Saccharomyces cerevisiae S288C: one gene and its partner. The main gene of each other region encodes a partner of the protein of the gene in region 2 in a complex. Each region holds a gene or a part of one and is shown on either strand. Other genes may lie near its edges. The genes, in order: TRM8 and TRM82. A codon is read from its position in the direction of its gene.

Region 1 (3,764 bases), 690 kb from region 2:
CTTACAGACTCTGATATTCGATTTCCACTGCTTATTGATGCATCTTGTACAGCTGGTGAACCCAAACTCTCTTTTGTAGAACTAAAATTGAAAGGAAGTTCATACCTACTACCAGTACTGTTGGTGCCATTATTGGCATATCCTATTTCACCTGTTGGCTTGGAATTAAAAATGTCCATGCCGTTATTACTATTTATGGTTACTGGAGTGCCTAATTGACCACCATCAGCATTCCCGTCTGTGAAATTCAGCGCACTCAAAGGCAGCGATAATGATGAGGAAGATGAAGGGGATGTAAAAGGAATAGCTGGTGTGAGTTCAACGATAGAGTCATCCACTGGATAGGGTGCAGGCACTATATTTTGAGCTGGCAAACCATGCCTATCCGAATTGGCATTTCCCAATTTATGCGAGGACTCCCGCGCCCTTGCTGGTGGAAACATGTTAATGTGTTTGTCATAGAGGTTAGGTTGCGGTTGGCCCTGATTAACCATTGCCTACTGTATTAAAACAAAGTATTAAAACGTGGTGGTACACTCTGTACAAAAGAATAGAAGGAAATGAAAAGAAAACGGAGTTAAAATCTACTTCATAAAAAGAGACGCTTCCAAATCCAGTCTCTACCACGTTCTTGTATATAATTTGAGCAACTCAAATTAAATTACCGGGATATCTGCTTATTCTACAAGCCATAGCATCCAGTGCTAAGGTTCATCTCAAGCCATCTTCAATACACTTGATAATTAGTCGTCAATTTTAAAATTAGGTTTCGTTCTTGAAGGCACTTAACCTAAGCTTTTTACTATATGACCTATTAAACAAGTCTTTTTCATAGTGTAACCTAACGTTTATACACTAATAACCCTAGGGCTTAGTAGAGATTCATACAGAAAAAAACGTAGAGTTATAGCAGTAAACTGAGAAAAGAAAGAAGGTTAGTACAATTGAAGAGTAAGGAAAACAAAAGCTTTAGACCTTATTGGAAGTGCTTGGGCGCGGAGTGTGATTATAAATAATGTTGCAGCTAAGGTTTATGCCTGGATGGGTCCCCAGAAATGGTTTTTTTGGTTTGAAGGAGACAATTGGTACAGTACATAAGAGATTTTATGCTCTGGCTTCTGAACAACCCTCAAGAAAGACAGTAAAGCCGCTGGACTCGAGGAAGACGTTTCTCATCGATACATACAAGCATTTAATGGAGAACAGTTCTATGATTTTTTTTGTCCATTACAATAATCTTTCCAAAACAGAAGATCACCATTTCAGATTCAAGATTAAACAGACAGGAGGGAAACTCACAAAAGTAAGAAACAACCTGTTCGAAGTCTACTTGAGAAATTCGCATCTGCCCGACCCATGTGGATTCGTGAAGCGTAAAGAGCAAAACTGGAAACATCCACTCTTGCCACTACTGAAGGGTCCTACGGCCACAATTACATACGAAGACACCAACCCTCAACAAGTAGCCAAGCTATTGAAGGTTCTGCAGTCAGCACAAGACAAGCTGATGGTGATTGGTGCAAAAGTAGAAAACGAAGTTTTGAATGTGGAAAAAATAAACACTTTTAAGACTCTCCCCACAAAGCCGGAAATGCAGTCGCAGTTAGTCAGCGTTTTGCAAATGCTAAGTGGGTTGGGTTTGGTTCGTACGTTGGAAAACAGTTCAAATGCATTGTATTTAACACTAAAATCTCACAATGACAACCAAAAACCTAAAGAGGATGTGGAGTCAACTACAGATGCAGAATCGAAGGGATCAAAGTAAAAAGAAAATGCCCGTAATTCGACAAGTTTTATAAAGGTTTTACTATTCAATCATGTACATACATCATCAAAAAATAAAAAGACAATGAAGCAATAACGGTAAATATACTTTAGTCTATGTATTGACGTCAAAATTACCTTTCTTTTACCTTTCTTACCTTTTTACATATCTCAGCGACCGTTGAAAAAAAAAAAAAATGAAAAATTTTGGTGATGACTTCAGCAAAAAATTTCAGGATATTTCTGACATTTCACTTTATTAAAGCGCCACAAAAGCTGGATTAGTATAGATTCAGCAGTTCCCATAGGATAAAATTTTCAAGCGTTTATTGTTAAGATGAAAGCCAAGCCACTAAGCCAAGATCCAGGCTCCAAGCGTTACGCATACCGTATAAATAAGGAAGAAAATCGTAAGGAGTTGAAGCATGTAAAGATCAATGAAAGTTCTTTGGTGCAAGAAGGCCAAAAGATCGACTTGCCAAAGAAGAGATATTATCGTCAAAGGGCGCATTCCAACCCATTTTCAGATCACCAGTTAGAGTACCCAGTATCTCCCCAGGATATGGATTGGTCCAAATTGTACCCTTACTACAAAAACGCGGAAAATGGACAAATGACAAAGAAGGTGACGATTGCTGATATTGGCTGTGGATTCGGTGGGTTGATGATAGATTTATCACCAGCCTTCCCTGAAGATCTTATCTTAGGGATGGAAATTCGTGTGCAGGTTACAAATTACGTGGAGGATAGAATTATTGCCTTAAGGAACAATACAGCTTCAAAACATGGATTTCAAAACATTAATGTCTTGAGAGGTAACGCTATGAAATTCTTGCCCAACTTTTTTGAAAAGGGCCAGCTTTCTAAAATGTTTTTTTGTTTCCCCGATCCTCATTTCAAACAAAGAAAGCATAAGGCAAGAATTATCACTAACACCTTGCTGAGTGAGTACGCATATGTTTTGAAAGAGGGCGGTGTCGTGTACACAATTACAGACGTCAAAGACCTGCATGAGTGGATGGTAAAACATTTAGAAGAGCATCCTTTATTTGAACGGTTGAGCAAAGAATGGGAAGAAAACGATGAATGTGTGAAAATAATGAGAAATGCCACAGAAGAAGGTAAAAAAGTGGAAAGAAAGAAGGGTGACAAGTTCGTCGCTTGTTTCACAAGATTACCAACGCCAGCCATATTGTAACATAGATGTATAACTAGAACAATTTACCACATATACATAACTATTTCTTATGTTTATTTTCCTAAAATCCTTTATCCAACTACAATCTACTAAGGCTTAAGCTATTTTCCTTTTCATTATTTAATAACTGTTCTTTCAGTTTACAGCTCCATTTATATCCGGTTAATTTTCTATTGCTACCAACGATTCTATGGCAAGGTACTAACAATGCCAGGTTATTTGAGCCGCAAGCTCTTCCGACAGATCTTGCGGCAGTTGGCTTCCCTATTCTCTTTGCAATATCACCATATGTTACGACGTGGCCGTGTTCCACGTTTAAAAGCTCATTCCAAACTTTACGTTGAAAATCTGTTCCAAACAGGAACTCAAAGGGAATAGCGCCCGATGGTAATGGCATTTTGTTTTCTAAACATATTGTATAATTTTCGATTGATTTCTTATATGTTTCTGCCTCTTTTAGTTCCTGTAAATCGTACATTGTATCCTGTTTCTCATGTTTCTTCAAGAAGCCTTCCACCTTTCCCAATAAAAAAAGCTTATCATTACCTAACGAGGCAAAAACAAGGTTTTGAGTCTTTTCCCTAAACACCAAAAATGCACCAGTCACTTCAGTTTCAATGAATGTATAGTAAAGCAGTTCCTTCATCGTTGGTCCATTTAGATCAAAAATGCGACCGTTTTCAATTTTTTTTTTGTGCATATGCTATATCATTACTTGATTAATCTTCCTTGTTTCCACCGCATTTTAAATGCCCTGCCAGGCCAATAGCGCCGTGCCTTTTTTCTAATGACTATAATAAGA
Region 2 (3,728 bases):
GTATACATCAAATTCATTCAGGGTTGGTGACTATATTATAGAAGCGTTAATGATTCTGATCGTGGTTCACAGTGAGTGCTTTAGAATTGGGCCTCAGCTCATCCATAAGATTTTAATTGAAACGCAGATTTTTATAGCCAGATACCTCTTTGAGGCATTTAAGCCTTATGTTGGTAATCTTTCTAATGATGGCTCATTACAAATTATAGTGGATTTGGAATTCTTTCAGAAGGTTATGGGTCCTTTACTTGAAAAGGACACCGAGGCCACATTAAGGGCGTGCTTACAAAACTGTTTCCAGAACGACACAAATAGACTACAAAAATGTATCAATGAGATTAATCCTATTGTATCTGCCAATTTAAAAAGAACTGCTATTCAATTCGCCGCCTTCAGCTAGAAACAGAGGTATAAAGATGTACTAACAATGATTATTAACACAAATCGGTACGTATCTTTTTTTATATTAGTTATAAAGATGTACTTACTACCTTTTTATTTCACGAGTAATGTTCTCCATGTTTTCTTAACGAGGAAACATTGTATAACGGGTAAATTTCTTCTTTCTTGGTCACCAAGTTAGAATCCCCTTGTACTGATTGTATGATGGCACTGTCAAATTCGTTTGATTTTTCATTATTCACGACAAAACTATTCTCATTTAAGTTATATTCAATGAATTTGGCAAAATTTTTTTGCACACCAGATGATTCCTTATTATCTAGGGTGACTTGGAATTCATCATTATGGGCGGATAATGAGATAACATTATATGGAAAAGTTATAATTTGCTTTAGTGCAAGATCCCCTTTTTGTTTTTCGGACATTTCCAGAATTATTATGCATTTTGTAGCTTCGACGAAAAACGCAACAAACGGTAGGTTCTTTGACTTTATAATTTTACTAACTGCAAATTCAATAATATCATTATTTTCATTTTGAAATCTTGGTGGTGCTAAATGCTGATCATTCAAATAAGGTTTAATCAAACTATTATAATCGAAGGTAGACAAGTTCTTACCAGTTTTCCAATCCCAAGCGAAGATTTTATCGTCACCACCTGCACTTAATAATAAATAGTCTTTGCCACAGCATATGGAAGAAACAAAATGCTTATGACCAAAGAGCCATTTGTCCACAATGAAACATTGGGGATAATGCGAAATTTTAATATGCTCATCTCTATCACTTGTAATTATGAATTGATGACCGTCAGAGTCTTTAATCAAGTGTACATCAGTCAACATAGAGACATGACCGAGAATAGGTTCTTGAGTAAACTTTTCTTCCGGGATAGAATTAATATCAATAGAATATACATCACCAAATTTGTCAGCTATTATGACTGTAGTATCATCTTCGGCTATAGAAATAGCATTCGGTCTCTTTGAGAAGCAGAACCTTTTTCTCAACTTTAAGACATTTTTGGAAGTTTTGTCGACATCGAAAACTAGGAGGGACTTGTCAGAATCTGCGCACGCAATTAGTCTTGATTCATCCGAAGTTAATCTCAGATTTCTTATGTACGAATATATCGGTGGGGCGCCAAGACCTGGAGATGGTACCTTGGCTGCTGTCCTTTTAATGGAATCGCCTTTATTACTTTTCAATTTTTTGTTCTCGTTTTCGTTTTCGCTGGATTGTCCTTGTTGCTCCTTAGCAGTGGTGTTTCTCGATTCTTGAATTTTGTCGAAATCATCAGACCATTTTCCAGCAAATTCCCAATGATTTGGCGATTGATATTTGAAGCTTAAGATACAATTCTTAATGATGGCGAAAACTAATGAGCCATCACGAGAGGTGAGTAAATTCTGCAAAGGATGAATGACGCTCATTGTAAAACACGCGGACTGCTTCAAATTGACAAACCTTGCTATACTTTAGCTGCTAATATATCATCAATACGCCTTTACTAGTAAAAAATTTTTTCATCTCATCGATTTTTTTCACCTCGCCATTTTTTTCGCTGATTAAAAGAAATGTATCTGAGATAAGTGCCATATTTAATGACAGCAGCGTAAAATAAGAATATGTAACGATACAATAAGAAAACTATGTTTATGTGTCACCTCTTGCTTGCGTCTTGGGAAAAGCATTCCCAATAACAGAATACTAAACCGGATGTAGTAGCCCTCTTAGTTTTTCTATCTAACATGTCCATCCTCCTGGATCAAAATATCAGTAATCTTGTATTCCTTACTTGCGATACAGCTATTATTACAGGCACTCTTTAAAAATCATCGAATAGCCGATCGACTACACACTTATCCCTATAACATGGTGTAAGTGATAGAGAGGTGAATGGCGGCGTCGTCTTATGTTCTCGCAATTATTGGTAGATGGTCACACAGCACGGTGTTTTTCTTTTGCTTAAACGATCAGTTTAAGTCCCTATTGAAACTAGTAAGACATTGCTTTGTAAGACCTTGAAAATAATTAGAATCCACTGACAAAGTAGAAGAGTGTGCACATGCTTGGTTTGGCGGAACGATGTCTGATTTAATTGAATTACAGAGGAACTATTTGATAGGGGTTTTGAATCAGATTGAGACGAAAAATAACTTGAAGTTTCTTATTATCGATAAAACTGTGGAGACAATATTGAGTTATCTTTTCCTCACACCCCAAGAACTTTTAAATAATGTCACATCTGTTGATTTGATTGATTCCCCAACAAGAAAAGGACAATCCTCCATCGAGGCAATTTACATATTGGAACCAACGAAATATAACATCAATTGTATCGATGCTGACTTCATGGTAAGACCACCTAAGTACAGAAGATGTCACATCAGATTTTTACCAGGATTAACAAACCCTATATTTCAGTTTTTTCAATCAAAACGTTACATTGCTCAAAATTTGGAGTCATTTAAGCCGATCGAACTAGGGTTTTTCGTCAAAGAATCTCAATTCTTCGAAACTTTACAAATGGAACACTCATTACAGGTTTTTTTCAACAACAACTGTAAGGCTTTGATTCCTACTAACGTGAGGAAGATTGTAGGCTCACTAGTTAGTTTGTGTGTTATTACGGGGGAATATCCGATTGTTAGATATTCTGTATCTAATCCTGTGGAAGAGGAAGATGCCCGCAATGGAAACGCCGTAGTCAACGCAAATTCTTTAACAAGGTCTATTGCAAACGCTTTCCAAATAGCGATAGATACATACGCTCGCAATAATCCAGATTTCCCTCCTCAAAACACTGAAAGACCGCGTTCCATTCTAATAATCACCGATAGAACACTGGACCCTTTTGCGCCAATATTACATGATTTTAGCTATCAAGCAATGGCTTATGACCTGGTAGCTAATGTGGACACACAAAAAGATATATATCATTATTCTGCCGAGAATGAAGCTGGTGAGCAAGAGGAAAAGGTTTCAAAATTGGTAGATTTGTATGATCCTGACTGGATTGATTTGAAACATCAGCATATTATGGATGCCAACGAATATATTCAAGGAAGAATCAAGGAACTGATTGCTAAAAACCCTCTGCTGGTTGATAGATCGAACGTAAAGAATACTACCGATCTGCTGAGTGTCGTAGCGCACCTGAAAGATTTTGATGAAGAAAGAAGAAGGCTGATTTTGCATAAGACACTGGTAGATGAATGCCTAGGAGAGAACGCGGAAAGAAAATTAGCGGATATTTCTGCTATTGAACAAAACCTATCCGGATTTGGAATGGATTTTAGTGGTGAGAAGATAAAGCATATTAT

The links.
Region 1: the proteins of TRM82 (region 2) and TRM8 are in contact, whole or in part, in a crystal structure (PDB 2VDU), measured with the Saccharomyces cerevisiae proteins. Residues at the interface, in NP_010449.1 of Saccharomyces cerevisiae: Asp172 (codon at 1,322), Glu189 (codon at 1,271), Leu192 (codon at 1,262), Gly193 (codon at 1,259), His194 (codon at 1,256), Val195 (codon at 1,253), Ser196 (codon at 1,250), Asp208 (codon at 1,214), His210 (codon at 1,208), Asp219 (codon at 1,181), Glu220 (codon at 1,178), His221 (codon at 1,175), Lys223 (codon at 1,169), His226 (codon at 1,160), Gln229 (codon at 1,151), Cys230 (codon at 1,148), Phe231 (codon at 1,145), Ile232 (codon at 1,142), Val233 (codon at 1,139), Asp234 (codon at 1,136), Lys235 (codon at 1,133), Trp236 (codon at 1,130), Phe238 (codon at 1,124), Gly239 (codon at 1,121), Lys241 (codon at 1,115); in NP_010080.1 of Saccharomyces cerevisiae: Tyr69 (codon at 2,306), Val71 (codon at 2,312), Ser72 (codon at 2,315), Pro73 (codon at 2,318), Met163 (codon at 2,588), Lys164 (codon at 2,591), Phe165 (codon at 2,594), Pro167 (codon at 2,600), Asn168 (codon at 2,603), Lys172 (codon at 2,615), Asn199 (codon at 2,696), Thr200 (codon at 2,699), Leu201 (codon at 2,702), Ser203 (codon at 2,708), Glu204 (codon at 2,711), Tyr207 (codon at 2,720), His235 (codon at 2,804), Pro236 (codon at 2,807), Leu237 (codon at 2,810), Thr282 (codon at 2,945), Pro283 (codon at 2,948), Ile285 (codon at 2,954), Leu286 (codon at 2,957).

What each region holds. Positions count from the first base shown.
Region 1 is NC_001136.10:97,460-101,223, forward strand, and holds TRM8 (tRNA (guanine46-N7)-methyltransferase), read left to right. Parts: upstream 1-2,101; coding exon 2,102-2,962; downstream 2,963-3,764. Other genes in the region: ACK1 (Ack1p), read right to left, coding at 1-494; mitochondrial 54S ribosomal protein uL10m MRPL11, read left to right, coding at 1,016-1,765; MGT1 (methylated-DNA--protein-cysteine methyltransferase), read right to left, coding at 3,042-3,608. UniProt on the Saccharomyces cerevisiae protein: Methyltransferase that catalyzes the formation of N(7)-methylguanine at position 46 (m7G46) in tRNA, a modification required to maintain stability of tRNAs; its absence resulting in tRNA decay.
Region 2 is NC_001136.10:782,978-786,705, reverse strand, and holds TRM82 (Trm82p), read right to left. Parts: upstream 1,836-3,728; coding exon 501-1,835; downstream 1-500. Other genes in the region: exocyst subunit SEC5, read left to right, coding at 1-400; SEC1 (Sec1p), read left to right, coding at 2,491-3,728. UniProt on the Saccharomyces cerevisiae protein: Required for the formation of N(7)-methylguanine at position 46 (m7G46) in tRNA, a modification required to maintain stability of tRNAs; its absence resulting in tRNA decay.